Linked DNA regions of Arabidopsis thaliana. Changing the gene in region 1 together with any one later gene gives a genetic interaction. Each region holds a gene or a part of one and is shown in the gene's direction. Other genes may lie near its edges.

Evidence for each region.
Region 2: of ZTL (region 1) and PRR5, changing one suppresses a phenotype caused by changing the other (phenotypic suppression), as found in Arabidopsis thaliana (one study listed by BioGRID).

The regions. Positions count from the first base shown.
Region 1 is NC_003076.8:23,233,819-23,251,035, forward strand, and holds ZTL (Galactose oxidase/kelch repeat superfamily protein), read left to right. Parts: upstream 1-7,608; 5' UTR 7,609-7,778; coding exon 7,779-8,023; intron 8,024-8,853; coding exon 8,854-10,397; coding exon of another isoform or gene 10,398-10,438; exon of another isoform or gene 10,439-10,505; coding exon 10,506-10,597; 3' UTR 10,598-10,772; downstream 10,773-17,217. Other genes in the region: HA3 (H[+]-ATPase 3), read right to left, coding at 86-847, 1,069-1,305, 1,388-1,507, 2,519-2,563; AT5G57370 (U4/U6.U5 small nuclear ribonucleoprotein), read left to right, coding at 10,993-11,652; VIN3 (Fibronectin type III domain-containing protein), read right to left, coding at 12,720-13,645, 13,709-14,013, 14,101-14,650, 14,930-14,996, 15,457-15,471. UniProt on the Arabidopsis thaliana protein: Component of an E3 ubiquitin ligase complex that plays a central role in blue light-dependent circadian cycles.
Region 2 is NC_003076.8:8,350,037-8,366,200, reverse strand, and holds PRR5 (two-component response regulator-like protein), read left to right. Parts: upstream 1-7,654; coding exon 7,655-7,880; intron 7,881-8,135; coding exon 8,136-8,297; intron 8,298-8,376; coding exon 8,377-8,507; intron 8,508-8,662; coding exon 8,663-9,117; intron 9,118-9,210; coding exon 9,211-9,820; intron 9,821-9,904; coding exon 9,905-9,997; downstream 9,998-16,164. Other genes in the region: AT5G24490 (30S ribosomal protein), read right to left, coding at 236-511; AT5G24480 (Beta-galactosidase related protein), read left to right, coding at 1,165-1,649, 1,803-2,370; AT5G24460 (RING-H2 zinc finger protein), read right to left, coding at 10,484-11,386; AT5G24450 (Transcription factor IIIC, subunit 5), read right to left, coding at 13,071-13,246, 13,379-13,418, 13,519-13,610, 13,961-14,162, 14,370-14,508, 14,894-14,962, 15,314-15,412, 15,485-15,656 and 1 more. UniProt on the Arabidopsis thaliana protein: Transcriptional repressor of CCA1 and LHY, thereby controlling photoperiodic flowering response. Involved in the positive and negative feedback loops of the circadian clock. With RVE8, forms a negative feedback loop of the circadian clock.

The DNA.
Region 1 (17,217 bases):
AGAACAGAACATTTTCTTCAAGAAACAAAACAGAGGAAAAAACAGAATTTTAAAACAGAGGAAAAAACAGAGTTATATATATTACCTCTTTTGGATCAGCGAGCATTCCAACCATAGCAGCATCAATAGCATCTTGGTTCTCAACTCTTGAAGCTCTAGCAGCAAAAAGCAAAACTTCATCTTTCTCAACGCCTTTACAATAAACCTCAATAAGATTCTTGTCAACACTAAGCTTGTTTAGCGTGAGAGTCCCGGTTTTATCGCTGCACAGAACATCCATACCAGCCATTTCTTCAATGGCGGTCATTCGTTTTGTGATAGCTCCTTGTTGAGACAACTTGTGAGATCCAATAGCCATTGTGACAGACAAGACAGTAGGCATTGCAATGGGGATACCACCAATCAAAAGAACAAGAAGATTGTCGATTCCGTCTCTGTAGTGTCTGCGCTGGATCGGATACATGACAACGATCTCAATCGCAATACCAACAGCTATGGAACATATGCAGAAGTTTCCAATCGCCGTAAGAACTTTCTGGAAATGTCCAACTTGGTTTGTGCTGTCGACTAGATGAGCCGCTTTACCGAAGAAAGTATGGACTCCAGTGGCTATCACAACCGCTTCAATCTCACCTTGCTTGCAGGTAGAACCGGAGAAAACTTCTTCCCCTGGACCTTTCGTTGCGGGAAGAGATTCTCCGGTCAAAGCAGATTGGTCGACTTTTAAAGGATCACCTTCAAGAAGACGTGCATCAGCAGGAATGATGTCACCAAGCTTGATGCTCACAATATCTCCAGGAACAAGAATAGAAGCTTCTTGCTCTGACCATTTGCCATCTCTTAGAACCTGGTCATAACAAAACAAATATTATTAAAAGCTTGTAATGAAATTATATGTAAACCAATTACTTATGCCAAACATTTTCAAGTTAGACAACTACTAGGTGCTAAGAATCTAATTATGTAACATAGTTAAACTCGCGTAATTCGTATGCCAAGTATACAGTAAACATACACGTAAATGCTAATGCAAAGAGGAGTATTTGAAGGGAGTTTATAAAGAGGGACCTTAGTTTTGGGAGCAAGACCAGCCATAAGAGCAGCAGCAGCATTTCCAGCATTGTTTTCTTCGACAAAACTGATAGTTGAATTGATAACCAAAAGACAAACGATACCGACAAAATCTTGCCAATCCGGTGGCTTTCCACCGCCATTAGCCAAGGCAATAGCCATGATTGCAGCTGCTTCCATGACCCAAGAGAGAGGGTTCCACATAAAACCCAAGAACTTGAGTAACTTGCTTTCCTATTTATTGAAACCACCATTACATAGTTAGTGACTTAGCTCATGTATGATGACTTTGATAATGGTTAAAACCAAACTATACCTTCTTCTCCTCGAGTTTGTTGGGGCCAAAGATCTGGAGTCTGTTTTCTCCTTCTGCTCCAGATAAACCTTCTCTGCTGCATTTCAACTGCTGGAACACTTCCTCAATAGGTATTTTCTCCTGCAATATAATATGAACACGATGTTAGACTAATTCAAATGGTGTTCAATAATTATGTATCTCCTACACCAATAAACAACCAAGTATGTTTTTATCTGTAGTACATCTTTTTTACAGATACAAATGTTAACCTTTTACAGTACTAAAAAAAGCAAAAAAAAAGAAAAAAATATAAGCATGCAAATTAATAGATAATCAAGATTATAATTATTTATCAAAGCATAAAAATATTAGATGACCAAAATTATGGAATGTTCTGTAGCTGTCGATGTCAGAGAATCTAAGGTGGGACCACAAGGCCTTGTACTTTAATTCGCTTATATAATAAGCCTAAAGGCCCAATAAGGCCCATTGTAACGGAAGATGTATTGATAGGGGCAAATCTGTCTATATAACATGGTATCTTAAATTGAGTCCAGAAAATCAGGTGAAGATTGAAGTTTAGTTTTATCTAGGGAAGTGATTAACCGATTGATAAGGCGATATTCCATGAGTATGAAAAATCCAAAAACGTAGTAATTGAAAACAGAATTGACTAAAACTTCTCTAAGAAATCTCAAAGTATACTCATTAAGATAGATCATGTGAAAGTAGAGAGTACTACTAATGTAATTACTTTTGCTTTATTTGGAAACAACTTTTACATAATTGTAACTAAATTTCTGGTGACTGCAAATTGTTTTAAATTAGTGCAGTTGCAAAATCTAATAAAAAAATAAATAAAGAAAAAGTAATTTTGAAAAAAAAGCAGAAAAACTGAAATAATTATGATAATATTAACACTTTTTCATGGATTCTTTTCTCATCGAAATCAAACAATAAAAATCTCATGCTAAAACATGAAGTCAATAGTTCAACGATGATGTAACGAGATTTGTGTACAACCCTAATTTGATCGAATCGTTAAGTAAAAAACAAAACCAAACTAAACTTTCCTCTCGTATATTCATTAAACAAGTTAAACAAACGAAACAAAAAAATATATACAGAGTAAAAAGAAGAAATCCATACCAAATCAACATTCTCGTTCACGATATCCTCGAGGCCACTCGCCATCTTCTCTCTGTGCCTTCGTTCAAAACCAAAAAATCGTTAAAACTTTGCACAAAACTGCGGAAGAACGAAGCAAATAAAGTAATGATAATGAAGATATATTCGAGACTTTAGAAAAAGAAGAAGAACAGAGAAAGAGATAATTCAAAGAGAAACGAACCAGATTCTTCGGAAAAAAGAGAGCAAGTGAAGGTGGACTACGTTAGGCTATTTGGTGGCTCTCTATTTATATGCCTCTCGTAACTATGCGACGTCGGTTTAGGTCACCCCATTTTTTTTATTCCCAGTCCAAGTCGAAAATATTTTATTCTGGAAAAATTATCATCTCTTTTTTTTTTTTTTTTTGTTAATTGAAGTATTATCGTCTTGTCAAGGAGGAAAGATTTAATATCATCACTTTGACTTGTTATGTCATTAAATATTAATTCATTGAGATTTCAAATTTGAGCTCTGTTAGTGAAGTTCACTGAGTAGGACAGTTTTGTCATATCATGTCCTATAGTATATCTCTCTCAATTTATTAAAAGGTTTCTTCTGTTTGTTGTCAAATAAAATTTTATTAATACAAAAGAGAAAGTCTTAATTCTACCTATGAGAAACCAACTACACCATTCAATATCATTAATTTACTATAGATATGTAATTTATCAAAAAACAAATAAATAGATTTCCTTAAAACTATTATATTATTTAATTTCTTTCAAGATTATTATGATAAACCTAAATTTAAATCATAAAATAATTTATGATTACTTTATTGAAAATTTCAGATTTTAAGCGTCTTTGATTATTTTTTTAATTACCTTGAGATCTTAAAAGATATATATTTTAGTATGACAACTTTTTACTTCCAATGATATATGGTTAAAAAAAATTAAAATATATCTAAACTGCCGTTAAAATGGTTGTTGTTGACTTGATGAAAACAGCTAACGGCGTTATTTTCTGGTAAAGGTGCTACTGTGCTAGTCATATTTTACGGTGATGGACCTGATGGTTCTGTTACTAACTTTAGTTACCATCAATGGTAAAAATCAGATGCTACAATAATATCCTGACACGTGTACATTCCTTTAGCTAGTATCGCGGAAGTGTAAAAAGACCGATTCTTGAAAATAATAAAATTGCATTTAAAGCTTTCAGTAGATTTATAGACAAACAAGGAAAAACAAAATAACCTTTTAGTAAATTTTCTTTGCTCTGACATGTACCAGAAAAAGAGAGGGTTAATGACATACGTTTATCTTTTTTTGTCAACGGTGTGAAGCATAAGATTATTCTTTTCTTCATAAATGGACAATCAATATACATAATTGTGTTCATATAAAACAAATCTATTTGAAAGTTTTTGTTGAATTCGGTTCCATATATGTGTAAGAAAAAGCATAAACGTTATTTAAGATCAATAAAGTTCTTATAGACAAATGAAAAATGCAACTTGTGGAATAACACTTGTTACTTTTTTATTAGTGAATCGATATGATCCAAACGTATATATAAACCGTCTACAATATATATTAATTTTCATTTATAGAAGTTGACTTGTTATTTCACAGTATTTTTCACTTTTGACGGTTTGAATCGCAAGCATTGGTAGTATAGTTACATCTATTTCGTCAGTCCGAGAGATTTTACTTGCTATATTGTCCATATATATGTTCTATTTAATTTAGTCTGTTTTTACTCATAGATGCTCTCAAAACTTTATAATGATATGTTTTTACTCATAACTCATGTTCAAAACTTTATAATTATATGTTTTACTCATAACTCATGTTCAAAACTTGTCTCTTTTTCTGTTTAAGTGCTTAGTGCACATCTGCCTACATAACAATCACGCATGTTTACACATAGAAATTGTGTTCAAAACTAAAGGGTTTTTCTCTATAGTAATATTTCTCTTTAACGTTTATCCCTAGGCCCTAGCAAGTAATATTTCTTTTCAATATGTAGGTATTCTACTTAGTTTAGATACAAATATAATTATGAAAAAGAATTAGAAATAAGTTGGATGGTGGGGACAGATTACGCAGCGTTGCAACATATGTAACGTGAAATGATGGTTCGTACAACCTCACGTACACAATCCACTCAAAGTGACGTAGTGTCTTTGGACTTTGCCTTCGATGCATCTCATGTTCTCCTGGTCCCACGATCCTACCTCAATTTTAGATCACACAAACCCATCCCAATTGCTTCATAAAGGTTGTTAGTTTTAGTAAACACACTCAAAAGTGTTGAAATTATAATATTACATATTTTGCTCAAAAAGAGCTAAGGCTTTTTAAATGTACAAACAAATTCTCTTTTGTTATATATTTCTAGATTTGTCTACTTTAAACGTATGATGTGTTTAACACTTCTTTCAACAATATACGTGTATGAATAAACATGTTTTCGACATTCCACTTATGTCAATATCAACACATAATTTTATGGCTAAGCAGTAACCACCAGCTGCTGTGTAAAATCACACTTTAAAAAAGTTTCTTTAGCCTACATCTCTACGATCATGATGCATTGGCAATAACAAGATGACAACAAATTTTACAAAACAATTCTCATACCATGTGGCTTAAGAGAAAAGGCCAGCGAATTTATTCGAACCCAACATATATAGTGAAGATGTCTTTTTCAATCTCTTTTTTTAACAAGTATACTTTTTTTTTTTGGTAAATTTCTTTTAGTGAATTTACTTTCATCTTGAATCATTCTTTTTATTTTCAATTCAGTTTTGTTGATAATAGATTTTCATGAACGAACAAGGTTCTAAGAGATAATAATAATAAAGGGGGAAACAAAACACATGATAATAAGAATCTAATAAACAAGAGAAAAAAGAGAGGTGATGAATAAATGTAGAAGTCGAATCATACAAGAGGTGCTTGTTGGAAGGTCGTTGGACCAACGCTTATTGTGATATTCATGTTCGTATTCTCTATGTAGGTTTTTCTTTATATCTTCCCAGCATATACGTAGTTATTTAAGTTTCTTAGAAAATTACTATACATTGAATATCTGAAACAATTAATCATGATATTATGGAATTTTTTTTCTTTCAAAATTTGTATAAAGAAAAAGGAATTTTATAGTGGGGGCATTTTAGCATCTCGTCGAAGATATGAATGAATAGAGAATTTTGCAAAGTGTAAAGAAAACAACCGACCAAACCCACTTGTTCTCTCACGTCCTTTTTATGTGTTAAATTGTCATACACAAAAAAAATATTTACAATTATAATTTTTCTAAAGTCTTTAATGTCAAAATTATATGATCTATTTATATCAGTAATACAAATGTAAATCGCTATATTTTATATTTTTGTTAAAAACTAAATACCATAATTTAAAAGAAATATTTTCTTTTTCTTTTTATTTGCGAAGATATTGTTTAGTCGTATGGCATTGTATTAGTTACTTACTTAGTAGTTTTACAGAACGAGGTGAAGAATGTCGGAAAAAAGAAAGAGGTGACGAAGAATTTTGACCAATTTGCTACTTTGTAAGGGAAATATAATACAAAAAAATTGTATTTAGCATCATTACAAACAATTTCTCCATTTTGTTTTAACTTTTACTATCAATTTTATTATTTTTATACGAAACTTATAATTAATAACACGAGGTAAGCCTGTTTTGTTAAATTGAGTATGTCAATTCATTTCATGAGATAATAACCTTCAAATAAAGTTCATAAGATAGTTGCCCCATATCGGTAACTTAGGCTTATAAAACAGTCTTATTATTGGTGATATAAAACAGTACTTAACTACTTATATATAAGTACTTACAACTTATTCTTATTATTGTTGATATAAAACACTAAAGTTGGGTTAAATCTTAATTCCAATTCAGCTGTTTGATGTTGGTTTAAAAGTCTGTTTGCACCTATGATTCTATGATATACCGAACCGATTCGATTAACCAGTAGTTACGAGAAGTTATTTGTTTCAACTAACTATCTATTGATTTGATGTAACTAGTTTGGTCCTCTGCGTATAAAAGGAACATTACAGAAGAGATTAAATGATAGGCAATTGATAATTGAGACGGTTCAAGAAAAGATTTAGCAACCAACAACCTTAACAAATTTTCATTTACGTAACTATAATTATAGATCTTGCTATTTTTCCATTTTATGGCGTCTTCTTATTACGAAACTCATACTATTCAGTCACATAATCTCATTTACTGGACTATAATGGGCTTTATTGTAATGGGCTTTATTGTAAGACATGAGCCCACAAATTTGGAAAGTAATAAGCTTCAGCTCAGCTAAAGAGAGTCTAAAAACCAAAGGGAAAAATGTCATTAAAATCCCCAACTTATTGAAAAAGTTGATTTAAATCCTCAACTTCCAACGAAACGAAATAAATATCAAACTTTTGTTGATTTTCCAAATAAATACCAAATTTTGGTTGACTTTCCAAATAAATATCAAACTTTTGTTCGAGTAGCCATATTAAGTATGACATTAACAGACCCTGTTATTAGAGTCCATTTTTTGTTAACAGACTCGTTAATTGAAAACGACAATATTCCCTATAACAATAAAACAACGTCGTTATGTCATAAATGCTCAATTAAATCCCAATTTCAAATCATATGAAGATTTAGGGTTAGAATTTTGCTTGATTTGGAGATTTAAGATTGGATTTGGGAATTTAATTCGGTCGTTATAATAAAACGAGGTCGCTTTCTTGTTATAGGAAACAATAACGTTTTAAATTAACGGATCTGTTAACAGAAAATTAACTCCGTGAACGCAATATGTTAATCTACTTAATATTATACCTAATATGACCATATATACGAAAGTTTGGTATTTATTTGGAAAGTCAACAAAAATTTGATATTTATTTCGTTTAGTTGGAAGTTGATAATTTAAATCAACTTTTTCAATAAGTTGGAGATTTTAATGACATTTTTCCCAAAAATCAAGGGGAGTTTTATGGTTTTATCTACTTGACCCGACAGAGAAATCCGGACCCGGATAAAATCCGACCCGTTCGAATGAACTCATACGGCCGAGATTTTTCCACCAAACTCGACGGTTACCACTCGTTTCTTTGTCCACCATCTTCTCTCTCTCTCTCTCTCAACCCCCGAAAATCTCCTTTTCCCAAAATTTTCCGATTATCTCACGCCGGATTGTTTTTCAATCGCCGTCTTCATAATCTCCGGCGACTGAAATCAGTCTGGTAACTATTTGAATTTTCATGGAGTGGGACAGTGGTTCCGATCTAAGCGCCGATGATGCTTCGTCACTGGCGGATGATGAAGAGGGAGGTCTTTTTCCCGGAGGTGGACCAATTCCATATCCCGTTGGGAATTTGCTTCACACGGCGCCTTGTGGATTCGTTGTTACTGATGCCGTTGAGCCGGACCAACCTATTATATATGTCAACACCGTCTTCGAAATGGTTACAGGGTATCGTGCTGAGGAAGTTCTCGGAGGAAATTGGTTAGTTGTTTTTTTGTTATCTTTGTGATTAGTGTTCTAATTGATGCGAGGAATTTCTATTTTTGGTTATTGGCTCACTTTACCAAATTTTGGCTACTTGGTGGAGTTTGATTAAGGTCCGTTTAGTTTGAGGATAGGTGAGGAATGTTTGTGATGATGGTAATCTGAAGGACACTCTATTGATCACTAGATTTAGTATGGATGGATACTTTGGTGGAGAGAAAACAAAGATATGTCTATTGTTAGATAATCATTAGAGTCTCTGCCAAATGGCAGAGAAGACTCAGTGGAGTCTCTGTGTGTGCCTAAGTATTCTCTGCCTTCAGATGTTTATTCAGTGATTGTAGTTTTCATATTAATCGAGCTCTCATGGCTGTTTTTGAGCTGTTTCAGCTGCTCCGCATGTTAAGGAAACTTGAAAGTGTATATAGATGCCGAGATAAAGCGAGCTATCCCTGTGTAGTTTCTCGGGGTCGTAGCGAACACAATAAATTCTTTACAATGTTGATGTGCAGTGAACCAGTGAAAAGGCTAAGTCCAATGCGTTTAGTTGTGTGTTAGTTTTCCATGAGAGAAGTGCTAGTAGCTTCCTTTATTAATAAGCTTTGATCTTACAGGAGGAGCTGATCAGTTCAAATAGTTGTTATTCTTGAACAGAATGAAAATCTGGTTAGGTTATAATTATGCTTGTTTGGTGTATTTGTTTTTTTTTTCAGTCTCTACATGCACGGCCAAATATTTTGTCTATTGCTTTTCCGCATCAGTAAGTTGGAGATAAATTTTGTTTTTGGTCTTATATTGTTTCTTAATTAATTTCTCGGATTCTGCAGCCGCTTCTTGCAATGTAGAGGACCGTTTGCTAAAAGAAGGCATCCATTAGTTGACTCTATGGTTGTTTCCGAGATAAGAAAATGTATTGATGAGGGCATTGAATTTCAAGGCGAGTTGTTGAACTTTAGGAAAGATGGATCTCCGTTGATGAATAGATTGCGGTTGACTCCTATTTATGGAGACGATGATACTATTACCCATATAATTGGAATCCAGTTCTTTATCGAGACAGACATTGACCTTGGACCTGTTCTTGGATCTTCAACAAAAGAAAAGTCAATTGATGGGATATACTCAGCTTTAGCTGCTGGGGAGCGGAATGTTTCCCGAGGAATGTGTGGGTTATTCCAGCTGAGTGACGAGGTTGTGTCTATGAAGATATTGTCACGCCTGACACCAAGAGACGTTGCATCTGTTAGCTCTGTGTGCCGCAGGCTATATGTGCTGACAAAGAATGAGGATCTTTGGCGAAGGGTTTGTCAGAATGCATGGGGAAGTGAAACAACACGGGTATTAGAGACTGTTCCTGGTGCTAAAAGACTCGGTTGGGGCCGCTTGGCTAGAGAACTGACCACCCTTGAAGCTGCAGCTTGGAGAAAACTTTCGGTTGGAGGTTCTGTTGAGCCTTCTCGCTGTAATTTTAGTGCTTGTGCTGTCGGGAACAGAGTTGTTCTGTTTGGAGGAGAAGGTGTGAATATGCAGCCTATGAATGATACCTTTGTTTTAGATCTGAATTCTGATTACCCTGAATGGCAACATGTCAAAGTGAGCTCCCCTCCTCCAGGACGCTGGGGCCACACGCTCACTTGTGTAAATGGCTCCAATCTGGTTGTATTTGGTGGCTGTGGTCAGCAAGGTTTGCTGAACGATGTGTTTGTCTTGAATCTCGATGCTAAGCCGCCTACTTGGAGGGAAATTTCGGGTTTGGCTCCGCCTCTACCAAGATCATGGCACAGCTCATGCACCCTTGACGGAACCAAACTGATAGTCTCTGGAGGCTGTGCAGATTCCGGCGTTCTTCTAAGTGACACGTTCCTCCTCGACCTTTCAATAGAGAAACCAGTGTGGAGAGAGATTCCAGCTGCCTGGACTCCGCCTTCCCGGTTAGGCCACACACTATCGGTTTATGGAGGAAGAAAGATCTTGATGTTTGGTGGTCTTGCTAAGAGCGGGCCTTTGAAATTCCGTTCGAGTGATGTCTTCACAATGGATCTAAGCGAAGAGGAGCCTTGTTGGAGGTGTGTGACCGGTAGCGGAATGCCTGGAGCAGGAAACCCAGGAGGAGTAGCACCACCACCAAGGCTAGATCACGTTGCAGTTAACCTCCCTGGAGGCAGAATCTTGATATTTGGCGGCTCAGTGGCAGGGCTTCACTCAGCGTCTCAGCTTTATCTACTTGACCCAACGGAGGACAAACCGACTTGGAGAATACTAAACATTCCAGGAAGACCGCCTCGGTTTGCTTGGGGACATGGCACTTGTGTTGTGGGAGGAACACGAGCGATAGTGCTAGGTGGTCAGACCGGAGAAGAATGGATGCTAAGTGAGCTACACGAATTATCACTAGCGAGCTATCTCACGTAACCAAAGAGAGCCTATGTATGAAAGAGAACCCAGCCATAGAAGAAGATGAAAAAGGGTTCTCGGTTAGGATACTGGAGCTTTAGGGGAGAGCGACTCAGTGGTGGGACTTTGGTACTGCTCATATTTTTTAAGTCCTTCTTCTTCTTTCTTCCTCATTAGGAGGACTTTTAGTGCTTATATAATATATATAGTGAAAATGTCATCTCTCTCTTTCTCTCTGTAGTGCTTGTTTCTGTTGTTCTCTTTGAAGTTTGAGAAGTGCATTTGTGTTCATATTCTGTAAATTTTATTTATGATTACAAACTTTAATAAGATCCTTTCTCTTCTTATGCTATTGGACCACTATTTTCATTTCCAATTTCATACTTTTAGTTCGGAGACAAAATGAGATTATTATTATTTTTCCATTGAGTATGATGAATATAAGAAAATTGGAAAAATAGAGGATAAAACCCCAAATTTTCATTTTAATAGAAAAAATTGGGGAAGAAAATTTACAGTGTTGAAATTGGTTAAACCCTGACACTAGCACCTTCCTCAGTCGCATCACCACCATGTCAGAGCGCGACCGCCGCGAACGAGAGAGGGATAAGGACCGTGAACCAGACCGTGATAGACGCCGAGGTAGAGACGACCGTGACCGTGACCGTGATCGAGACCGGGAAAGAGATAGAGAGCGCGACCGTGACCGAGGGCTTAGAAACAAAAAATCCCGATCTCGTACTCCAGACCACCACGCTCGTGCTCGCCACGTGCGCTCTCCGGAGAGGTATCGCTCTCGTTCCCGCTCGATTGACCGTGACCGGGACCGGGACCGTCAACGACACCACAGGCGCAGGTCTCCTTCTCCAGATGCTCCGTCGCGAAAACGGCCTCGCCAGGGTTCAGTAGACGATGAGAAAGAAAGGAATCGCAAAAGAGTAGTGACTGATTCCGTTGACGAGAATGCGTCTACTATTACTAAGAAGAAGGATAAACAACCAAGTGATGCTGCTGATAATGGCGGAGGCGAAGATGAAGAAGGAATGGATGTGAATGAGATTGAGATGATGAAGATGTTAGGGATTCCTACTGGATTTGATTCCACAAAAGGCAAACCAGTTGCTGGTGCTGATGTTAGTGGTATTAGAGCTGTAACTAAGCGTCAGCCAAGACAGTACATGAACCGTCGCGGTGGATTTAACCGTCCTCTACCGGCCGAGCGTAATCGCTAGTCTTCTCAAGGTTAGGCTTTCCACTAAGCTTCCCAAGTTTTTGTTCTATCAATTGGAAGATAGGTTTAGCTCCTATGTGTAGTATGATTAAATTAGATAGGACTTAGTTCTTAGACTTGTTGGCTGCATTAGAAAATGAACTCATCAGCATCTTTTCAGATAATGGATTCTAAGTACTCATCAGGTTCAGCATTTTGCTTTCTCTATATTACTCACTTGTTTTGCTTCTCAATCTAGTTCACTGGTGGTTGTTTAGTTAGATCTATACCAGAGATCTTTGTTTCAGGTGATATCCTCACAAGCTCTATATACAGATAGTTCACTCGGTTAGTTTTGTTATCTGCATGAAGAACTATTTTAGTTAATCCAGAGGAAATGGAACCAGTCTTGTGTTTTTTAGTTTTCTTGCCTTGGCACATTTGAATCTGCATCTTACAAGATCAAGTTGTGCGAGTTACTGCGTAAAACCGATCATTCCACCTATGTGCTGGTATTTACCAATAGGTCTCAACTCTCAACAGCTGAATTTAGAATTTACTTGCCCTTGGATCATTTACTCTGATGAGATTAAGCAGTTTCGGTTTTTCTGATTATTAACTAGAATCTTTCGTGTCTCTGCATCCAGTTTTTGTTTTCGCATTGATCGATTTCTGCTCACCAACCTTTGAATATATCTTGCAGGTCCCTCTAACGCTGTCTTGAACACTAGTCAAAAAGATGAGGGCTAGAGCTGCATTTCCCAGATAGTAGTTACTAGTTACTCCAATTCTTCCCCAGACTCTGTTCTGATGTCTTATAGAGAACAAACTTGTACTCTCTGAATTTGGTTGGAAACAACTCGTGAGTTATTTCTTTTTCGAGATTTAAAAATGTTAATGTTTGTGTGTAATCTCCCGGCTCTAACTGTCAGACTATGGTTCATTTGAAATCAGGCTTATTCATTTTTGAGTTTTTCACTAAGCATCAGAAAGAAATTGGAAATGCGTACTTACATAATTTCATTCCAAAATTATCGTTATGGTTTACAATATCAAGCGAGTTAATAAATAGACCGATTTCAAAAGCTTTTAATGCCAAAGCTTGAGGCAGATCCCAGCAGGTACTACACCATTTGTCGATGATCTCTTACTCAGTATACTTTCTGAGAATGTATCCACAAGCTGTTGTCCCAAAGAAGACAGATCCTCCATAAACGTCTCAACAAAGATCTTCACAACTCTTACTTCTCGGTGAGTAGCTCTTAAGCTATACCATGTCAAGAACCTTTCCCTAAAACTCTTGTCTATATGTCCTTCTTCCTCTAAACATCTAATCGTCTTAACAATATGACCCAAGTCTTTATCTCCTACTCCATTTGCGGCATTATTGATCTCAGGTTTCTCGTTCAAGGATACTGTTCTTGATTTGAATCTTTTATTCCCTCCTTGCTTTCCTTTATAAATATCTCTCTTGCAGGGTGTTACAAGCAAGTCTCTTCCATCTATCTTGTTTGCTTTCCTCTTTACAAGCCTCTCTTCTTCAAGCTCAGATTCTACTTCTCCTGCACTACAGTGTTCAGTGTTGTCCTTGTCACCATTTCCTTTGCTGCAGCTTTTATTGACATTATTAGATTCATCTTCTGGTAAAGATGGATTACTACAAAGACCACTGCTTGAGTTTGTCAAAGGGCTTTGCTGGTCCCCAGCTTCATCTCCATCATCCTTCAACGTTGTGAACCGAAGCTCAGACTCATCTAAGTCACCTTCCTCGTTAAAGGAAACCACTCTGAGACAGAACTCGGTGTCGGGTTCAAGTCCTTGGATGGCAGACGTCGTCTCAGGTAGATAAACAACACAATTCCCCTGAGACGAGCATTCTTCGTCCTTCGACTTTCGACAAAACAACCTGAAACCTGTGATCTTGTTTTGTGTAGAAGAAGACGGCTCCTCGGAGTCTACTCTCACAGTGACTGATCTTGCTTGAATCTCTTCTACTCTCACGGTCATCTTGTCACCTAACAGGAACTAAAGTCAACATCTTCGGTTTTAAAACCAAAGTAATGTATGAACACACTAACCTTGTCCTGAAACAGATTCTGATGGTGAGACCACTTTGTCCAGAGCTTCCATTGCCTGAGAACACAGCTTCTGGACATGCACACCCGAAGAAAGTCTATTGACGATGCCTCGAGCCATCTTCATGGCCCAACCCGACAACGGACCCACATCACCTTCGAGCTTCTTCACCGCCTCATCCATAAGTTCCAACAGATTCCGATACTTCGTGGTACCTCTCAACAGCTTCTGTCCTAAAGAAAGACGATAACAAAGTACATCCACACGCCGCGTCTCTTTCGCCACCTTCACTTGTTTTCTCCAGCATCTGTAAGCACTCGCATACACACACATTACATTACATTCTCTTTTCATTGTAGTATATCCATAGATTTCAATATCTAAAGATCCTTACCCGAGCAAGTCATTATCTTTACCGCAATACGCGCAATAAAACCTACCATCAAGATCATCACTCCCAATCCCATACCTATCTTGCTTCAAACCACATTCCAAATGACAAGACGATCCACAAGCATCACAAGTAAGCCATAAACTAGGATCCTTATTATCATCAAACTTTTGACAGATGCAGCAAGAACACCTTCTGCAAAACGTATCATCGCATCCAAGCGCAGCTCTACAAGCTAAATTCTCACAGCAAATGATGTAACCGATCATCTTCTTCTCCTTCTTCCTCGAGTTTCTACGGTCAGAACAAGAGGTCTCTCCAAGAGGACGAGACACAAGATTCAGAAGATTCTCTATGAGCTTTGGTTTGTTAAGACCAGTGTACTTCCTTTCTTTACCCATCTCAGCACATATGATCTTCATGATCTCATTTCTGCTCCATGAATTCAAAAGCTCCGAAGCTTCTTCAGGCTGGTTAGACAATGCGTGGATCAATTCTCTCCTTTCACTTACATTCAAAACGTTTGGTTTACAAGTCTCAATGCATTCATTATCTGCACCATAAAAGACCAATCCTTTAGCCCTAGATTCTCCTCAAGATAAAAAGGAGAGGATCACAGATTCTGACTCTTTTTGGGGTAAAAATGATCAAAAGTATAAAACTTTGAATGAATCTCAACAACCCAGAAACGAAATATCAACAATGACGACGAATCCAATGCGAGAAATAAAACGTTTGTTGATATTGTGTAAAAACGTCGTCGTGTTAACGACCTAAAACGCATGAAACTAGGAACAGTGAGAGAGACGTTCACGTCGAGAAAATATCGTACCTTCAAACGAAGAAGAATCCATGTTCTCTGGACCCACATTACCATCGAAACGCCAGATCTTTGAGAGCTGCCGAGATCCGATTTCACACAAAAGGTTCAATTATGTCAAAGTTAAAGCAAGAACCAAAAAAAATAAACCATCACAACAATCTGACAATAACACTTAAGTACAGACAAAAAAAAAATTCTCAAAGATGTAACACTTACGATGATGAAGAACACAAGATCGAAAAAAAAATTCAGATTTTATCGATTTTCATTTTGAAGTTATAATCTTTAAACAACCAAAGAGAAACCCATGAAATACACTTTGTAAGAACCTATATTTGTAACTATTAGACAAAAGATTCGAGGATGACTCAGTCTTAAGAACAAACCATTGAGAATTTTCTTTAATTAAAATAAACAAATACTCAGAGAGTAAATATATATGCAAAATTAGAATTGGTTGTTGTTCACCGAATGAGAAGCCTTCAAAAAAAAACAGCATACAAAGAATATTTATATAAAAAAAAAACGCTGTTTACCGAAGCAGCTTGCATTTTTTTTTTGTTTGTCGTTCTTCGTGTTCTTCGTTTTTTTTCTCTTGATTTTTTTTTTTGCTAGGTTTATTTTAGAGATCTTTTATGGGGATTTAGTGAAAAAGGAAAAGATGTTTCTGTGATGGATGGTTCTTCTCTCTCTCTCTCTCCTTTTGTTTTTTCTAGATGTTTCTAAGGAGGAAACCCTCTGATGGATGAAACTTCTGCTCTGATGAGAGCTTTTTTTTTTAAAGTTCTTTAGAATTTTGGTTTTGTGTATTTTTTAATATTAAAAAAAACGTTGGAAATATCTTCACGTGCTTTGGAAGATATTATATACGCAAATGCTTTGATTTGACCTGTAACCAATGCTGGACTTATTGTATATACCTTTTCTAGGATGTCGCTTATGACTCACTACTATATGTTCGAAATATTACGATATGTAAAATCATTTTTATTTACTATCATAAATTTTATAAATCTTTTTATTGAATTTAATAGTTTGTTTATATACAAGTTTTTTTTTTTTTTTTTTGAAAATATTATTTTTTCTTTTATAAGAAGAGGGGAGAAGAGATTATGATAATGTTGATATGGTGTATGAACTATCGTGTACAAACTTCGAGTAAGTCTTAAACAACAAAGTTATTAGTTTATAATTTCAGAATTCTGAGTTTAGATTTTGTGACAAGGGTTTTTAGTTTTTGTGAAGTTTACAAAATGCAGATCTCTTAAAAACTTTCACATATTTTTGTTTTGCATCATCTACGTTAATTTGTGATGATTAGTAGTATTTTATTAACAAAGTTAAACATCTAGTATTAGTTCAAATTTTCAAAATCCACAAAACGTTAACAATAAAAGAAGGTTAATATTCTATATATAGATTATCATATGAAAATGAGAAGTTCCGTTAGATTAAATTATGTTTTCTAAACCAACTGATGTAAAAGATTTTCTTAAATAACTGATTACTTTAGTTCATCTTTTTTTGTTTTTTGGACATCTTTAAATCGAGTAGACTCGATCTATAGTCAATGGATTTTTTAGGTGAAAGTTTACTAGAGGGGATAACGCTTAATGGATTCAAATTTGGGTGGAGAAAACGGAGTCAAGTAAACTTAATTCATCTTTAAAATTTAGTTCATCTACAAATACTTTAATAGTACAGTTTAGTAATACAACTTGTACTAGACAAGTACTAATATAGCCATTAACAATTTTAGTTTGCCCATGAAGACGGTCGGTCCAGATACCAAAAAAAGCGATTTGCCAAAAGTTTTTTTTTTGAATTAGCATCCCATGTAAAGAATTTCTTCGACTAATTCTTTTGGGACGAGTGACTTTTTGCCAAAAGAAAATTAAGAATCCACATTCGATTAAAAATTATGTTAGAATTCATGAACGAGTGATTATGACAAAGATACATGCAATAATTGTAACTTAATTTTGTAATAGAATTCCATAAACATTCACATGATATATCTTAACCCAAGTTATTTCAGGTTAGTAAGTTGTATTGTGGATCAAAAGAGGATTTGACTAAAATGTGCAAAATGAGCATTATCATGTAAAGAGACGGGACAGGGTGAGAAGGGGTGGTGGAGGTAGGGCTAAACCAGTTAAAAGTCCGCATATTTTTAGTTTTGACATGTTCGATCTAAGTTTTTCCAACTGAATAATTAGAGTGTTTGGAGTTAGGGTTTAGATCATAATTTATTGTTTAGATATAAAAACAAAAAATCATCAAATGAGGAAGAAGAA
Region 2 (16,164 bases), about 15 Mb from region 1:
AATTGATTGAAGACAACAAACTTCAACTATCAAAACCAAAATGTTGAACACATAAATCCCACTGAGTAAGAGTCAAGAGTCACTATCATAAACCTAACAGAATCAGTATCCAGAAAGTTCAAAACTTTTCTAATGAACATTCCTCAATAATCGAAACCCAGAAAAACTCAACATAAAATTCAACATTTTGTTCAGAATCCAATCAATTTCAAGTGTGTAATAGCAGAATCCAAACCTCGAGGTTTTTTCCTTGGATGATCAACTTGACGGAAGCAAGAGGACCGTCCCACGACATTTTCACAGCTAATGAGCTTCTACAGTAACTGTGTCTTACTTGTCTCCGATCTTCGTAACCAATCTGGCCGAGGAAATCTGAACGGAGCTTTTTCGAATCAGTCCGATTCAAGCCCACCATTGAGACTACCGTGGAAGAAGATGAGCACGGCGGCGTAGAAATCCAGACGCCGCAATGGTGAAACTTAGTCTGAGAGAAACCTAAAAGCGTTGCCATTTGTGAGAGTGAGAGAGATTCGCAGATCTTACTTTCTTCTGAGAAGTGAAGCTTGAAGACTGAAGTAGTGAGAAAGGAAGTGGAAAATATTTTGGATAAGGTGAAAAATGGATAAGGATGATGACATATGCAAAACGAGAAGAATTGTGAAATAAACCCCTTTCTTTCCATTTCTTACAAATTAGTCCCTTTAATTTGAGATGTGTGTTCACTATCACTTCTTTAATTCTTTTGGCATTACATGAAAGTATGAGACTTAATTTACTTACAAGATTAATTTAGTTTCTATATGAGAAATTAGTTAGTTACATGAATTCTTTGTTGTAAAATTTTCATAAAATTAAGGTCTTACATTCACATTTCCACAAATAAAATTTGATAATTCTACATAATTTTTGTGGTAATTTCTTAGTGTAGTAAATTTAGTTTAGTATGTACTAGTACTGACGTTCATAAACCTTTTCATTGACTAATGTTCAACATTAGAAAATTCGTAAGTGTATATCACAAACTAAATAATCACTAAAACTCTTCCAAGCACTAATATCGAAGAGTCTACCCTTACTACGTCATCCGGTGAAGCTTCTGCTCACCGGCGTCGGGATTTCTTTCCGTTGCTTCACACATTTTGTTACCTCTTTCTCTTTTTATTTATGCTTTGGCTCTTCTCTCAATCATCCCGACCACATTTTCAATCGATTCATTTTTTCGACTGCTCATTGACCAGTGACAGAGGGCAGAGGAGTTGGCCGGCGACCCTTCCTTCTCCTCAGCCTTTGTCTGCATCGACCTTTTTGAAGTGTTCTCCAACAGAACAACCCCATCTCTTCCGATCTAAATCCGATCCGATCTCATCCATCACCACCCTTACCTCCGATCTCTTTTATGTGTGTACCTCGTCGTTGATGATCTCAGTCCCAACGACATCGCTTAGCTTTCATCGGAGGTCCTATCTGTCACCACAGATCCGTCGTACCATCACCGTCCTCTGTTCAACGGAAGCCTTGCTACGGTTTCTCTTAATGGGCCACTCATGTTTGAGCCCATTAACCAATTCTAGGCCTATCCCCAAAAGCAATGACCCATCTCCTTTAATGACTTGGCCCGGCCCCTCCAAAGCGTTTCCGCAAAATCATAGGTTTGATTCAACTTGATGTTTGCCTTCTTTTAGTTTGCATTTGTGTCGATTCATGATACCAATTGCTAATGGACATCGATTGAGTCTTAATCACACATTGCTGCTAGGTTGGTACAAAAATCTCTTGAGAACCTTGTCTTTAGAATCACATAGGTGTCTTATTCATGTTGCTAAATGTTTGAAGATGATCGACATTATGATCCCGTCTCTAAGGAGCGATGATTACCGAAGCTTCTTTAAGTGTTCATCTCCGATTCATTTGCTTATTGACTTCATCCTTGAGATAATTAGCTACACCTTGGGCACTACTCTTGAAAGTAAAAGTTTGATGAAGAATGGCATTATGATCCCGTCTCCAAGGAACGGTGGTTACCAAATCTTCTCTAATCATTTTTACCCGTTAATCCTAAACCTAGAGCCCCAAACCAAACCCGAAAAAACCTTTACCTCCCATGAGTCTCCACCATTGGTCCTTACGTCCTTATTGCGCTTCGTGCCGGCAAGCCATGTGGCAAAGGACACATTTTCAAAGTCAAAAGATCAAGTTTTCTTGATCGTGACTACACCAAAGCTCCCTGACTTGGTCGCGAAAGTGTCTATGATACATCATGAGGTCATATGTGGCTTGTTGTTTGATTGCTTCTGTCTCTGTTCCTCTATGGATTATAAAAGCTATCGACCTTTTCTTGTTGTTAATTCTAGTTCTCTGAAGTTGTTGTAACCTTTTTATACTCGAAAATTTTGTAACCTTTGCTCTTAGGGGATAAAATGAATGAAATGCAAAAGGCTTGTTTGACAAAAAGAAAATTCATAAGTGATATCGCAACAAGATATCGACCAAAATCTTCATTACACGTCATAAGCATGCACCAAGTGATGTCAAGGATAAAAATCTAAACAATGATTCATGAAAGGTTATACGGTTTTTAAAAAAATTAGTATTGTATTTTGATTTTTGAGCTCGATTACATATTAAGATTTTGTTTTCCGTCAATAATAGTGAGAATATATGTGGACAATGCTTTTCTTACTAATTCAATTTGGTCATTACTTTATTTTGTGTTTTGTTTTCTTCTCAACATAGTTTATTTTATATGCGTGTGATTTAGTCATTAATTAGCTAACATAATAATTGATTATGCTAACTACAGTATAACCTCTATAAATTAATATTTAATAAATTAATAATCTGTATAAATTAATAAAAAATTTCGGTCCCGAGTTGGTACCAGTGTAAAAAATAACACAAATCGATAAATTAATAAGATTATACTTATTTTAAAAATTCTATGTAAATATATGGTCCCATTAATAACATAAATTAATAATTGAAAAAAAAATTTTAAAATATATATATGTTATATGTTAGAAAAATTAGTAAATTATGAATTTGCTATTATTTTTATTTTTATTATACTAATTCTTGGCAATGTTCAATTTTAATATTTTTACTACATCGAAAACACTTTTTTGTTATTTGATAGACACAATAAGTTATTCTTATTTACAATTACTTTTAGAAAAATAATGATTATAAATAAAACAAAATTATTTCAAACTCAATATTTTTTTAAAATTATAAAATTAGTCTAAACTCTCTATAAATTAATACTTCTATAAATTAATAGAAATTCATGGTCCCAACATTATTAATTTTAGTGATTTGTTTAATCTTTAATCAAAATTATAAGTAAGAAACAAAATATGTGTCAAATATACTAATTACAGTAAAACTAAAACCTCTCTAAATTAATAATATTGGGAGATTAATATTTAAAGTGAAAATTTTAAATTTTGTTATTGTAAGGCATTTCACAATAAGATTTTTAAAATACACTAGTTTAGACAATATAAATCATGTAATAGTAATATTTTGGATACTATCAATCTTGCATCGGTTTAGAAAAATAATATTCACAATAGATGATAACAAATTGAAATTGATTGTACAAAATTTGTTTTATATGATATGCACTGTATTTTAATGATTTTTGTTGTAAAAATGACATTTATTAATTTGTAATAATGATTAATAATCTCAATCATCGTAAACAAATAGATAGAAAAAAGCTATTGCATGTTGGGATCTTGAATAAGCTTAGGAATCACGGGTTTTGTGGACAATTAGAGATCCATGTGTTGTTGGCTATTGTAAACTAACCATGAAATTCATTCAAATCATCCATTCCAAAGAGTTTTGTTTTTTACTTAGTGACATTCCTATTTGTTTTTGGGTTAATCTAGTAATAATTAGACATTCCTATTTGTTTTTTACTTACTGATTCTTTTTTCCTTCTAATAATATGTTTTAAATTTGGCATTAGTATTTATTATAGTACGACTTGTCTCGTAGAAACTAAGCATTTTCCAATTACATATTCTTTTTTAGATCCTTCGTTAGCATATGCAGAGCTGATCTTCGACACATCTGGACACAGCAGGATAAAACATTTGCTGTGACCTCCATTTTTTTCAGCAAAGCTTATTTACAAAGCATCCTTTATTTTACTCATTTTCCAATAATTGCCCCAAATTTTTTAACCTTCTAACTTAACCTTAAATTTTCTTTTTTTGAGTTTTGACCCACAAAATGTCAGGGCTGGCCCTGAACATATGTATCAAGGTTTCTTCTAACTTGTAGTCGCCTACTGCTACATACAAGGAACATTAGGGCTATTAGGAAATAACAAATCTAAGGTATATCTTTATTGATCAAATCTACTATAGTTTTGGTTTTTATAGATAAAAATAATTTATTAATTTAAGATTTTGTCACGCATCATTTTTATAAAGATATCTTTTCAAAAATATCTATCTAATATTACTAACCCATTATATTACTATTACATATCAGTGAAAACATTTAACCATAGAAAGACAAAATTCATTTGTGGTCTAGATAGAACAACATGTTGATGACGATTAAATATATTAGATGGAATTGACTCAAAAAAAAAATCATTACCTAAAACATCGGCAAAACATTGTTTTCATGCAACTCAGCAAAATTAATTTGAAGTTTTTTTATCCACCATGATATCAATATCGGCCTATCTCAAGATTTACATATAATCTTTAATTAGATTAACGGATTGGTTAGATTATCTAACGTAGATAATGTTTGATTGTATGGATGTTTTGAAGACCATTAATGCCAACTAGCTTAAGTTTTTTGGGAAAATGGATAAGCCATTAGCCTTTTTGTTTGTTTGTTCATAGAGCAGACCATTAGCCATTTATGATATTATAAGATGGAAATATCTCAAGTGGCCTAAAAATGAAGAAAAACATCATACACATACTGTAAAGAACAAAAAAAAAAGGAAATATCAAAGTTGGCCACACAAAAAGAGAGGCCATGGAAATATCACACAGACAAAAAATATCTGTTTGAAAAAAGATGGAGCATGTTCAGTGTAAGTTAGGCCAAAATATCTTTAGATTTTATTCCTCAAGCCAAAAGTCATTGATCCACTACACTTCAACACCGGTGCGTAGAGCATCATCCAACCAATTAATCAAACATTTTCTTTTTCTTATATATCGTTGAGTTATTAGTCAATTGTGGTTATTACGCTCGTCTGTATATCATAGGTTCGAGTTCAAGTAATTTAAAGTTTGGGCGACAAAACAAAAATAGTAAAAAATTTGTTTCAAAGTATCATGTTGTGTAGTTGAATTTTAATTTTGCCCCACATATTATCTTTTTGATTAATAAAATAAATATACTTTCAAATAGTTGTAATTTATCAAATAAGTATTGATCATAGAACAGTGATTACTTTTAAAAACAGTTGCTAATGTTTTAAAAATGTAATTCTTTCTCGAATTTCGTACTTTCTATTACATATTATAAAAAAATAACTTATTATTTAGATACCACAGTAAAGTTGTTATCCGTAAAAATTATTTGACATTATATATCGTTATCATCATTATACAAATTTTTTTTGATAATTCAGATGATTTTAATGGTTTTTTATGTCCAAAGAGTAATCTTCAAGCCCGAAAAAACTATGTTAAAATTCGAACTTCGGTGACCAATATTACTGAAATCCAAATGACGAATAATTATTTTCTGGTTTATTATTGGACGAATGCGACTTAATTATTTTGTCTATTTTATATCATTTCTATTAGCAACATCATAATAAAATTTCTAATATATGCTGTCAATTATGTGACCAGCAACAATATAGTAAAACAATGTTAATTAAACCCATCTAACAACAATAAAAATTTGTCACTGACATAGTTTTCCTATATAGCACTTATTTTTCTTTTGTCAATAAAACACGCCGGCCTAAACCTATTTCTCAGTTTAACGCATGAAGTGCTAGTACAAGGAACTAAACCACCTGGCTTATTATTAACCATTTTCTTCATTTGTTTGATTGATCATTACACTAATTGTCCTTTTTTATTACCTAGTAGTTTACTAAGTTTGATTAAGAGAAGAAAACCATAGGGTCCAGTCAATAAAAAAGAAAGTCATAGCGTAGGACAAGACTCTTGTTACAAGAGAGCGAGTAGGAGAGATATATTACACTCGCGGGCGCGTAAAGAGACAAGGAAAAAAGAAGATATTTAGTCTCTGACAGTGACAGCTACCATTTAAAGGTGAAAGACTGTGTCAGATAATAACCATACACGTGTCATATTCCTATCCACCAAAGAACCACGAGGTTTTTAAACAAGTGTCTCTAATCTAATCCCACCCAACAACAAAATATCTAGCCGCGGAAAATTACTTTAAAATTCATCACCCTTTGTCCCTACTCTTGACTCGTGCATGTTCCATTTGATTTATTCCACCACGCAACCAAAATAGTAGCAATAGAAAAAACCAAAATGTTGATAAAAATTTGGTAAACTATGAATCTCTATGATCGATATTCATTTGTTTGATTGTTCCATTTCTTTTCTAATGCAAATCAATATTAAAGTGTTCTTATTTCGTGACTAAAATATATGGCTGGCCGAAAAAATATAAAATAATATATGACATTTGCTATTAGTTAGCACCAGTGATCATTTGGTGTAAGCAAATGTTTTTTGTGCCAAAAAATAATATTGAAATATATGTATAATTAATTCATTAACAAAAAGTTCTTATTTGTTATTTCAGAAAATAAATTATACCATGTGTCCTTGATTTTCTTATGTGAAAAAAAATTGAAATATCCTTATTGTTTTTAAAATAAACAAATTGCAAACCTATGTACCAAACAGAAAATAATACAATTGTTTTTGGATAAATTTGTATAGATACTTTTTCCCACTAGCATTAGATATTTTTTGGGTTTGGTATTATCCCAAAAGTCACGAGTGGGATTTTTATAGGTACTCAAAAGCTAAAATGTCTGAACAATAATATAAAATACATTTTAAAATAAAAGTAAAATTTAGAAGCATCAAATAAGTAATAGTTTCAATGTTTAGTGTTGATCTCTTATTAAAAGAAAAATAAACAAGAAATTCACTAAATATTTCTCCATCACAAATACATAAACATCAATTGCAATAAATATTTTGGTAAAGTATAATAAAAAATTAAATCCAACTTTAAATATGAACCACATAGAAAAACCAAAGGCTAGCCACCACACCAATTTTTTCTTAAAAGAAGGTTATTTGGCGTATTGGATCTCTTTTGTCTCGTATACAGTATTTTGCTGATGTGGCAAACGTGGCCACGTCAGCCAATTCTACTAGATATTTTTTCAAATCCAAATACTCTTTCCACAACCGTTAGATCATGGTCGGTTCGCCACCCACTTTCAATCATAACCGTTAAAACATTCGCTAGATTTTTTCTAGATATTTTCTTTTCTCCACACTATTATAGAAAGAATAAAGTTCTTTTTTTTGCTCTCTTCTCATTTATCTCTCCACTCACAAATATTTTGATTTGTTTTGTAACTGTTTCTCTTTCTCTGGAGCTTTCTTCTTCTTCTTCAATAATCGATTTAGGTTTTTCAAAGCTAAGTGTTTGTGTTGTGATAATGACTAGTAGCGAGGAAGTAGTTGAAGTGACGGTGGTTAAAGCACCTGAAGCTGGCGGAGGAAAGTTATCACGTCGGAAGATTCGGAAGAAAGACGCCGGTGTTGATGGTTTGGTGAAGTGGGAGAGATTTCTCCCGAAAATCGCGCTTAGAGTTTTGCTCGTTGAAGCTGATGATTCTACTAGACAGATTATCGCTGCTCTTCTCAGGAAATGTAGTTACAGAGGTTAGTTTCTGGTTTCAATGCTTGAGATTTAGGTTTTGTTTGTATAGAATCTGAGAATTATGAATTCGATTGAGATGCTAATGTTTTGAATCTGATTCGCGTGCGGCTAAATGTTACAATTCAAAGTCAAATTTAGAAAAGTCAACGATTTTTTTGTCGGTTTTGTGTTCATATAGAAATCTTTATCAACGCTTAGTTTCTACAACAAGCTAAAAGGATTTGTATTAATGTGGTTTGGTTTTGTGTATTGATCAGTTGCTGCAGTACCTGATGGCTTAAAAGCTTGGGAGATGCTAAAAGGAAAGCCTGAAAGTGTTGATTTGATATTAACAGAGGTTGATCTACCTTCAATATCTGGATATGCTCTGCTAACACTTATCATGGAGCATGATATTTGCAAGAACATTCCTGTTATAAGTACGTTGATATATACATCTTTTTCTTCCATCGTTTTGAAATGATTTTTTGGCTCATTATGTATTGTTTTTTTTTCCAGTGATGTCGACACAGGACTCGGTGAATACTGTGTATAAGTGTATGTTGAAAGGTGCGGCTGATTATCTTGTTAAGCCGTTGAGGAGGAATGAGCTTAGAAATCTTTGGCAGCATGTCTGGAGAAGACAAACTGTATGTTTCATATCCATCTTTTGTTTTAAGCTTTATGTGTGATGAATTATCTCTACAACTTAAACCCGTTCTTATATAAGTTCTGGGAAATTTCGTTGTCTTGAAAAGATGATTGAGTTCTCAGATTTGTTTTTGGTTTTGATTATCTTTTACAGTCACTTGCTCCTGATAGCTTTCCATGGAATGAGAGTGTTGGACAGCAGAAAGCCGAGGGTGCGTCTGCAAACAACTCGAACGGAAAGAGAGACGATCATGTTGTGAGTGGGAATGGTGGTGATGCCCAGAGCTCGTGTACAAGACCAGAGATGGAAGGTGAGAGCGCAGACGTGGAGGTTAGTGCGAGAGACGCAGTACAGATGGAGTGCGCAAAGTCTCAGTTTAATGAGACACGGCTTCTAGCAAATGAGTTGCAGAGTAAGCAAGCAGAAGCCATTGACTTCATGGGAGCATCGTTTAGAAGAACTGGACGACGTAACAGAGAAGAAAGTGTTGCTCAATACGAATCTCGGATAGAGCTTGATCTTTCTCTGAGAAGACCTAATGCTTCTGAGAACCAATCTTCTGGAGACCGGCCTTCTCTTCATCCTTCTAGTGCCTCAGCTTTCACACGGTGAGTTGTCTAATTTCTCAATTCTTCTTTCTATTAATCGTTCAATAGTTGTCGTTCTTTCTGCTGATTGTGTGTGTTATGTTCTTGTTGCAGGTACGTTCACAGGCCGTTGCAGACACAATGTTCAGCCTCCCCAGTGGTTACTGATCAAAGAAAGAATGTTGCAGCAAGTCAAGATGATAACATTGTGCTAATGAACCAATACAATACATCTGAACCGCCTCCAAATGCTCCAAGAAGAAACGACACCAGCTTTTACACTGGAGCTGACTCACCTGGTCCACCGTTTAGTAATCAGCTGAATTCTTGGCCGGGACAGAGTTCATACCCTACGCCAACCCCTATCAACAATATACAGTTCAGAGATCCCAACACAGCTTATACATCTGCAATGGCTCCTGCTTCACTCTCCCCAAGCCCTAGTTCCGTTAGCCCGCATGAGTACAGTTCCATGTTTCACCCATTCAACAGTAAACCCGAGGGGTTACAAGACCGGGATTGTTCCATGGATGTAGATGAGAGGAGATACGTCTCTTCTGCAACCGAACATAGTGCAATAGGCAATCACATTGATCAGCTTATTGAGAAGAAGAACGAAGATGGCTATTCATTATCCGTCGGGAAAATTCAGCAATCTCTTCAACGAGAAGCCGCTTTAACCAAATTCCGAATGAAGCGAAAGGACAGATGTTATGAGAAAAAGGTAAAAACTTAACTTCGATGGTTCCATCACATAGATGAACTCATAACGTAATGATACTAAAGGAACCTTTGAATGACTTAACAGGTTCGTTACGAGAGCCGGAAGAAATTAGCAGAGCAACGACCACGAATCAAAGGCCAATTCGTTCGTCAAGTCCAATCCACACAAGCTCCATAGTGATCCAACAAATTGATATATTATATACAGTTCAATTTTGTATCATCAACTAGAGGAATTTTGTTTTCTCCGATGCAGGAGCTGTTCTTTGTACAACTAATTCCACATACGTTAGATTTGGTGACACATTTGTGTGTACATACACATCTTTCGAGCTTGTTGTTGAGTTTTAGTTAGAATCTACGTTAGATCTGTAACTACATACATTTGGATTACGTTTCTGTAACTTGCAAGACGAATTAGAAAGATTGACAAAATCTCAGCTAAACAAATTTCAGCACAAAACAATGAACTCGAAGAAGATAAGCTATAGTGAGATCAAAACTTCTGGAGAATAGTATCCACTAACACAAAAATAGCCAAACGAAGAAGATGATTATGAACATATATAAATGTGTATATGTATCTCTACATGGCTCTCTGATTATTCATGTATCAAAAGCAAGATTGATAAAATTTGTGAAAAGCTTTGTTTTGAGATTTTTTTTAAGATCGAATCGAATCAGGACTAACCCATTTCCAGTAATGTCGTTTCACAGTTACAGCATTCCCAGCGGCGAGTGTTTCAACCGAATCTTTCGTCGAGTCTCCTCCCTCGTACTCTTTTTCCTCCGTACAGAAATCTTGCTCCGGTAATCCCTCCACCGTTGCATTCACAGAGTGAAGAGCGTAACGCGCCGGTAATCCTGGATACGATAGCGAGTTCCTTTCTTCAACTCTTCTGTTATAAGTTCCGGGAAGAATCTTAATTCTCTGTCCAATGTTATCACCATCGCCATTGAAGATAGATCCGAGCTCTTCTTTTATGGCGCGAAAAACTGCTTCGTCGGGAGATTCTTCAGGCTTCATTTTCTCTGATAAAGGACGAAATCTTTCACGAATACTCCCATCGGATAATTCCTGATGAGCTTCCACTAGGATTCGTCCGTTTTTTCCGATTACTCGAACGGTGACGACGTTGACGGTGCGTACTGGAGGAGTTGAATCGGCGAGAGAAGTTTCGCCGTCGGAGAGTTCTAGCCAGAGGTTATGAACGTTTTTGGTTCCCGGTTTGACTCCCCAAGCGGCGAATGAATCGGAAGGTAATCGCGATTCGAGCCAATCGGAGAGAGATTGAGGATTAGCGAAGCGTTGAGTAGGAGGAGGAGGAGGAGGAGATCGGCGAGACATGGCGGTGATGGATCGACGGCGAGGATTTAGAGGGAAAGAGAATCTGTTCGGAGGAAGAGAGACTAGAGGTTTAGGAGATGACCAGAGGAAAAGGAGAGAGACCGCCGCGAGGAAAATATCAGGTAAAGCGGAGGTGACGGTTGCGTTACGAGGCCGGTGGTTGTTGATGTTACGGCGGTTAACGAGTGGTGTGTGCGGCGGAGATGGGCCAACGAACATGTCAATTGACCAAAATACCCCTAACGATCGAAACCAACTCTCTATCGTGGCTCATACTCGTACCGAAGAAGATTCAGAGAGGCCTATTAATAAATAAATAAGACCAGAGAAATAAATATGAGGAAGAGATTGTGACGACGATTATTCGCATATCTAATCTTTAATAACTAGATTCTCTTTAATTGCACAATGGATCTTATCTTTTTATAATTTAACTTTTTACCCTTTAGTTTTATTTTTTACTAGATTCTCTTTAATTTGCACAATGAATCTCACGTTTGAAATTACAATTAACCGTTACCTAATCCTACTATATTATTTGGAAAGTATATTTTATATATAACCTTAACTTTTATAATTAATTACATAACAATGCCATTAGAAAAATTTAATCAAAAACAAAATCCTTTTATGACGTCATTAAGGTTACCAAAATCATTTAACGACAATATTCATCTCTTAATTATAGGGCTTATTGGATCTAAAGACGGGTCATCAAAGATTTCCTAATCTGAAGCAAAATATACTGAATATTCAAATATCTATCTGTTACCAAATTATAAACAAATAAGTTCGTAAAATAATTTCATATTTTATATACGAAATCAATTAAATCTTAATTACATAAAAATTAGCAAAAAAAAAAGTATTCAACAATTAAAAATTTATCAAATCTCTGTGTTACATAAATTTTGATACTATATTCGAATAAAGTGTAATATACCTTTTCAATTTGTATTCTTTAACTAATTTAAGCTAACTAATATATTTGCTAATCTTATACCTATCAAAACTAACTATCGTTTCTTATCTCTATAGTATTTTTGCAAGACCTTTTTGGTGGATTTGGGTAAAAGTGCATTCGGGTCATATGATACATTTCCCTATTAAATAAATATGGTGCACTCCTATGTTATTAGCTAAAATGTTTAGATTATAATTTAGAGTCATATCATAAATAAAATTAATATTAATAAAATAAATGGCTTTTTGGCAAGACGAATTTGGAGAGACGGGTTTTTGAATCAACATTAATAAAAAATTAAAATATAATTAATTAACCGTTTCAATACGGATTAAATCTTTAATTTATTATTTTTTTAAGACCACTAATACTAAACATATCAAATCATCATAATTTAAAAAAAGATTATATAAAACCAAAAATGATATGTTTGTATGTATAATGTTACTATATATAAAATTAAACTATAAAATATACATGTATTAAATGTATTAAACAATGATACAATTTGCAAAATTTATATATATAATTAATAATTCTAAAATTTTAAAAATTACTACTTTAAAAAAAAATCACGGGATGGGTGAAGAAATTACAAAACGGGTTTTATTTTGGAATTGGGTTATATGGTGGATGTATTTGAATCAATATTTATAAAATTTGAAAATATTGTTAATATGTTGTTTTAATAAGGGTTAAAACTTCAATTTTTTTAACAATTGTCTCATGGATTCGTGGTATAGCGTTACTTAATAACAATTATAAATTGCAAAATATAAATATTTTATAAAAATAAAATTTGCAAGTTTTAATTTATATTACTTTTAAAAAATAAATCGTCCCGCGGTATACGGGGGTTAAAATCTAGTCTCTTTACATTTAGCTACACACACCGAGTTTCGTATTTACAATGTAAATACACGTTATATTCAAACTTCTTCACTCATCATCCTCCTCGTCATCGTCGAGAGCGTTGGATTCTTGCTCGTAAATCGGATACTCTCCATCGCTATCATTATCATCATTGGCACTACCATACAAAGCTGATGCGCTGCTTGGAAACCTATTGAACAAACCTTGCAGATAGGTTCTGGAGTTGTTCTCCATGTCACCATCTTATCATTGTTTAAGAAAAACTTTAAACCAAACCAGATCAAGCTCTAAATTCTCTCCTAATCCCCTAGAATCTGCATGTACTAATGACTAATTGGTGCTTATGTTATGAAAGTTTATGCTTTGAAGGATACATCCATGAGAACTTATTGATATGTCATCATCATTTGCAGCCTGCAACACAACACATTAGATTAACAGAGAAACGATGAACAAGCCTTTCGGGAAAACTAATGGGTGAAGTAAACAAGAAGTAGTTTGTAAGCATGGTTACCTCCTCGTATTCATCATCCAAGTCTTCAGAATCCTCATCCGCATTAACATCATCATCTTTCTCCTTGTTTGTGTTTTTACACTTTTTCATATCTGCGGATAATTTTACACCAACAACTGTTAATCCATACTTCTTTTAAGGAGAATGTGTTTGATGACAAATGATAATAAGCAGAGCATGAGATGTATGACAATATAAAATGCCTGCCTCATTCGATTTTGGCTGGCACATGTGATTGTGCACCCTTATATATTTACTTACAAATTCGTCGTACAATATGTCCAACAAATTAACTCCAGTCAAGTTCACCATGCTTTAACACAATTTTGAGACCATTGAGATTTGAAAAAGAAGCACTTGGCTCCATGCATGTCAACAATCACTAACTAGGCTGCCTAACATGTAAAGATGAAAAGAACTGAAATTGCTTTGTCTATCTTACCTTTAGTTGTTTCCTGGTGATTCCGTTGACTTGGTTGCAGTGCATCTTTCTGAATACGTGTCTTTTCAGACCTCTCAAACTCTTCTTGAATAGATTTAAAAACGTCTTCGAAACCTGGCTCAGGAAACACAGATACAAACCTCACAGCTACACGGAGTCTCAAATTGTCAAGCAGCGCTTCAGAGAACCATCCTGTTTTATACTAGCAACAAAAACAAATCAGTACAGATAACCAAGACCTCACATAAAACAATTTTCCACTCAATATATCATTTGTGTGTGATTGATGACGCAGTGTTTTGGTAGTGGTATTTTTTGCAAGTGCATGTATAGGTTTGATCTGTAATAAGCAAGACTCTAATTTTTTTGGAATCTACTTCATTAACAAAAGCTTTAGCTGATAACTCACATTACAAGTAGTCTGCTTGGGAGGCTTTCTTATCTCTTGTTGAATGTACTCATCGTCAAGTTCAAATAACTGTAGAAATGTTTGGCATTTGAAAGGAAATACTTTAAACGCACAAATGTCATCCCAGCTTGGCTTTGACCTGTCACAAATAAGAAAGAAAGAAAACATCACCTTTATAATTGGACCGTTTCTTCAAACATATATCCAATGTTTTATTTGCAATTTCTCCATGTAAATTCATATATATGTTCCCTGAGAAACTATCTTGAAACTGTTAAAAGAGAACATTTAGGTTGCTATCCTCGGAAAGTGACTGAAAATCGGAAAATGACACGTTTCTAGAGAATTCAGACACACTTCGCATTGTTTTAAAAATTATAATGTTCTCATACAATTGACCACAAATCAATACTTGCAAAGAAAATGTTATCATGATATATGTTTATCTGTCCATATATATTACAAATTGAGAATCTTGAGTAGAAAAATATCTTGAGTTTACAAGGAAAAATGGAAAATCTTACTTGTTAGTTGCATTGGAATCACAATAACCCTTTAATTCAGGTGGAACCCTGAATTCCATTCTCTGGAATCTGAAAAAAACAAAATATAAAAAAGGTTAGAGGTGAAGAGGTTTGACATACAGCTGCAGTCTGGATGCAGGAAAATATGAACTACAGAAGAAAATTTCATGTCAAGCAAGTTTCCAAAACCCGGATAATGTCAGCACCAACACTTTCTGCATTGGAAGATAAATACGCTCTCAAATGAGCCAAGTAGAATATGTATCATTCTCGAAACACTTTGCAGAAGACGAGGAAGTTCAGAGGTGTAAAACCGGCCTATTTCTGTTCTATTTTGAGGTGTACAAATGACAATTCTACATTACCGTGTCATAGACCATGCATTTGTAATATGAATAAACTTAAAGAGATAGAACTCACACACGAGATTCAGGATCTTTCCGTGGATCATAGCCTCTTTTAATCCAGAACCTAAGAAATGGACCACCCGAGAAATAATATGCAGCCCTAAGAAGAAACCTGCAGAGAAAACTCCAGAAAGTTGGTTATTGCAGTAATAATACACATAAGAAATGCATAAAATTTGTTCACCTGTTTAACATATGATGTGTGCATGTAAGACCTTTATCGAGTAGTCGTTGGACTATGGAATCTCTTGTCCACACAGGTCGCTCTTCAAACAATGCAGACACTGCTACCTGCCATTTCCATTGGTTGGAGGTGGGAACGATATAGTCTTCCCATTTTAATATCTTTGGGATCTGTATGAATGCTAAGGACTGATCAAAGATATCCAAAATGACAAAAATCATCAAACAAACATGGCTTCATACTCAGCAATAATAAGATTTGGAAGATTAGTAAAACGGAGAAAAGGATATCTTTGACACTAAAATCAATTGCAAATACTGGGCCAATATCTATCTGCATCATCAGTAGATCAATTAGCAAATGGAGAAGTAACAACCACAAGTAAACTGTCATGGAATCTTTAACTATCAATATAAATAAACAGAACAGCAGTTCCCTCAATGTTTTAAAAGTGTGAACTGCGAGCTTTTACATGCTTCAGAATCATTAACTCTGCAACTACAGGCTTTAGAAAAAACATTTGCAAACTACCGACATTCCTGTAAGAAAACCTAAGCAGAATCCACCTCTTTCAAGTCTCAAACCTTACCGTTACAGACTTGCAGTAATTAAGAATTCCATTTTACTAGTTACAGAAAAAGAAAAAAGCTTGCCATATCAGTAGATTATATGTTTGAGTC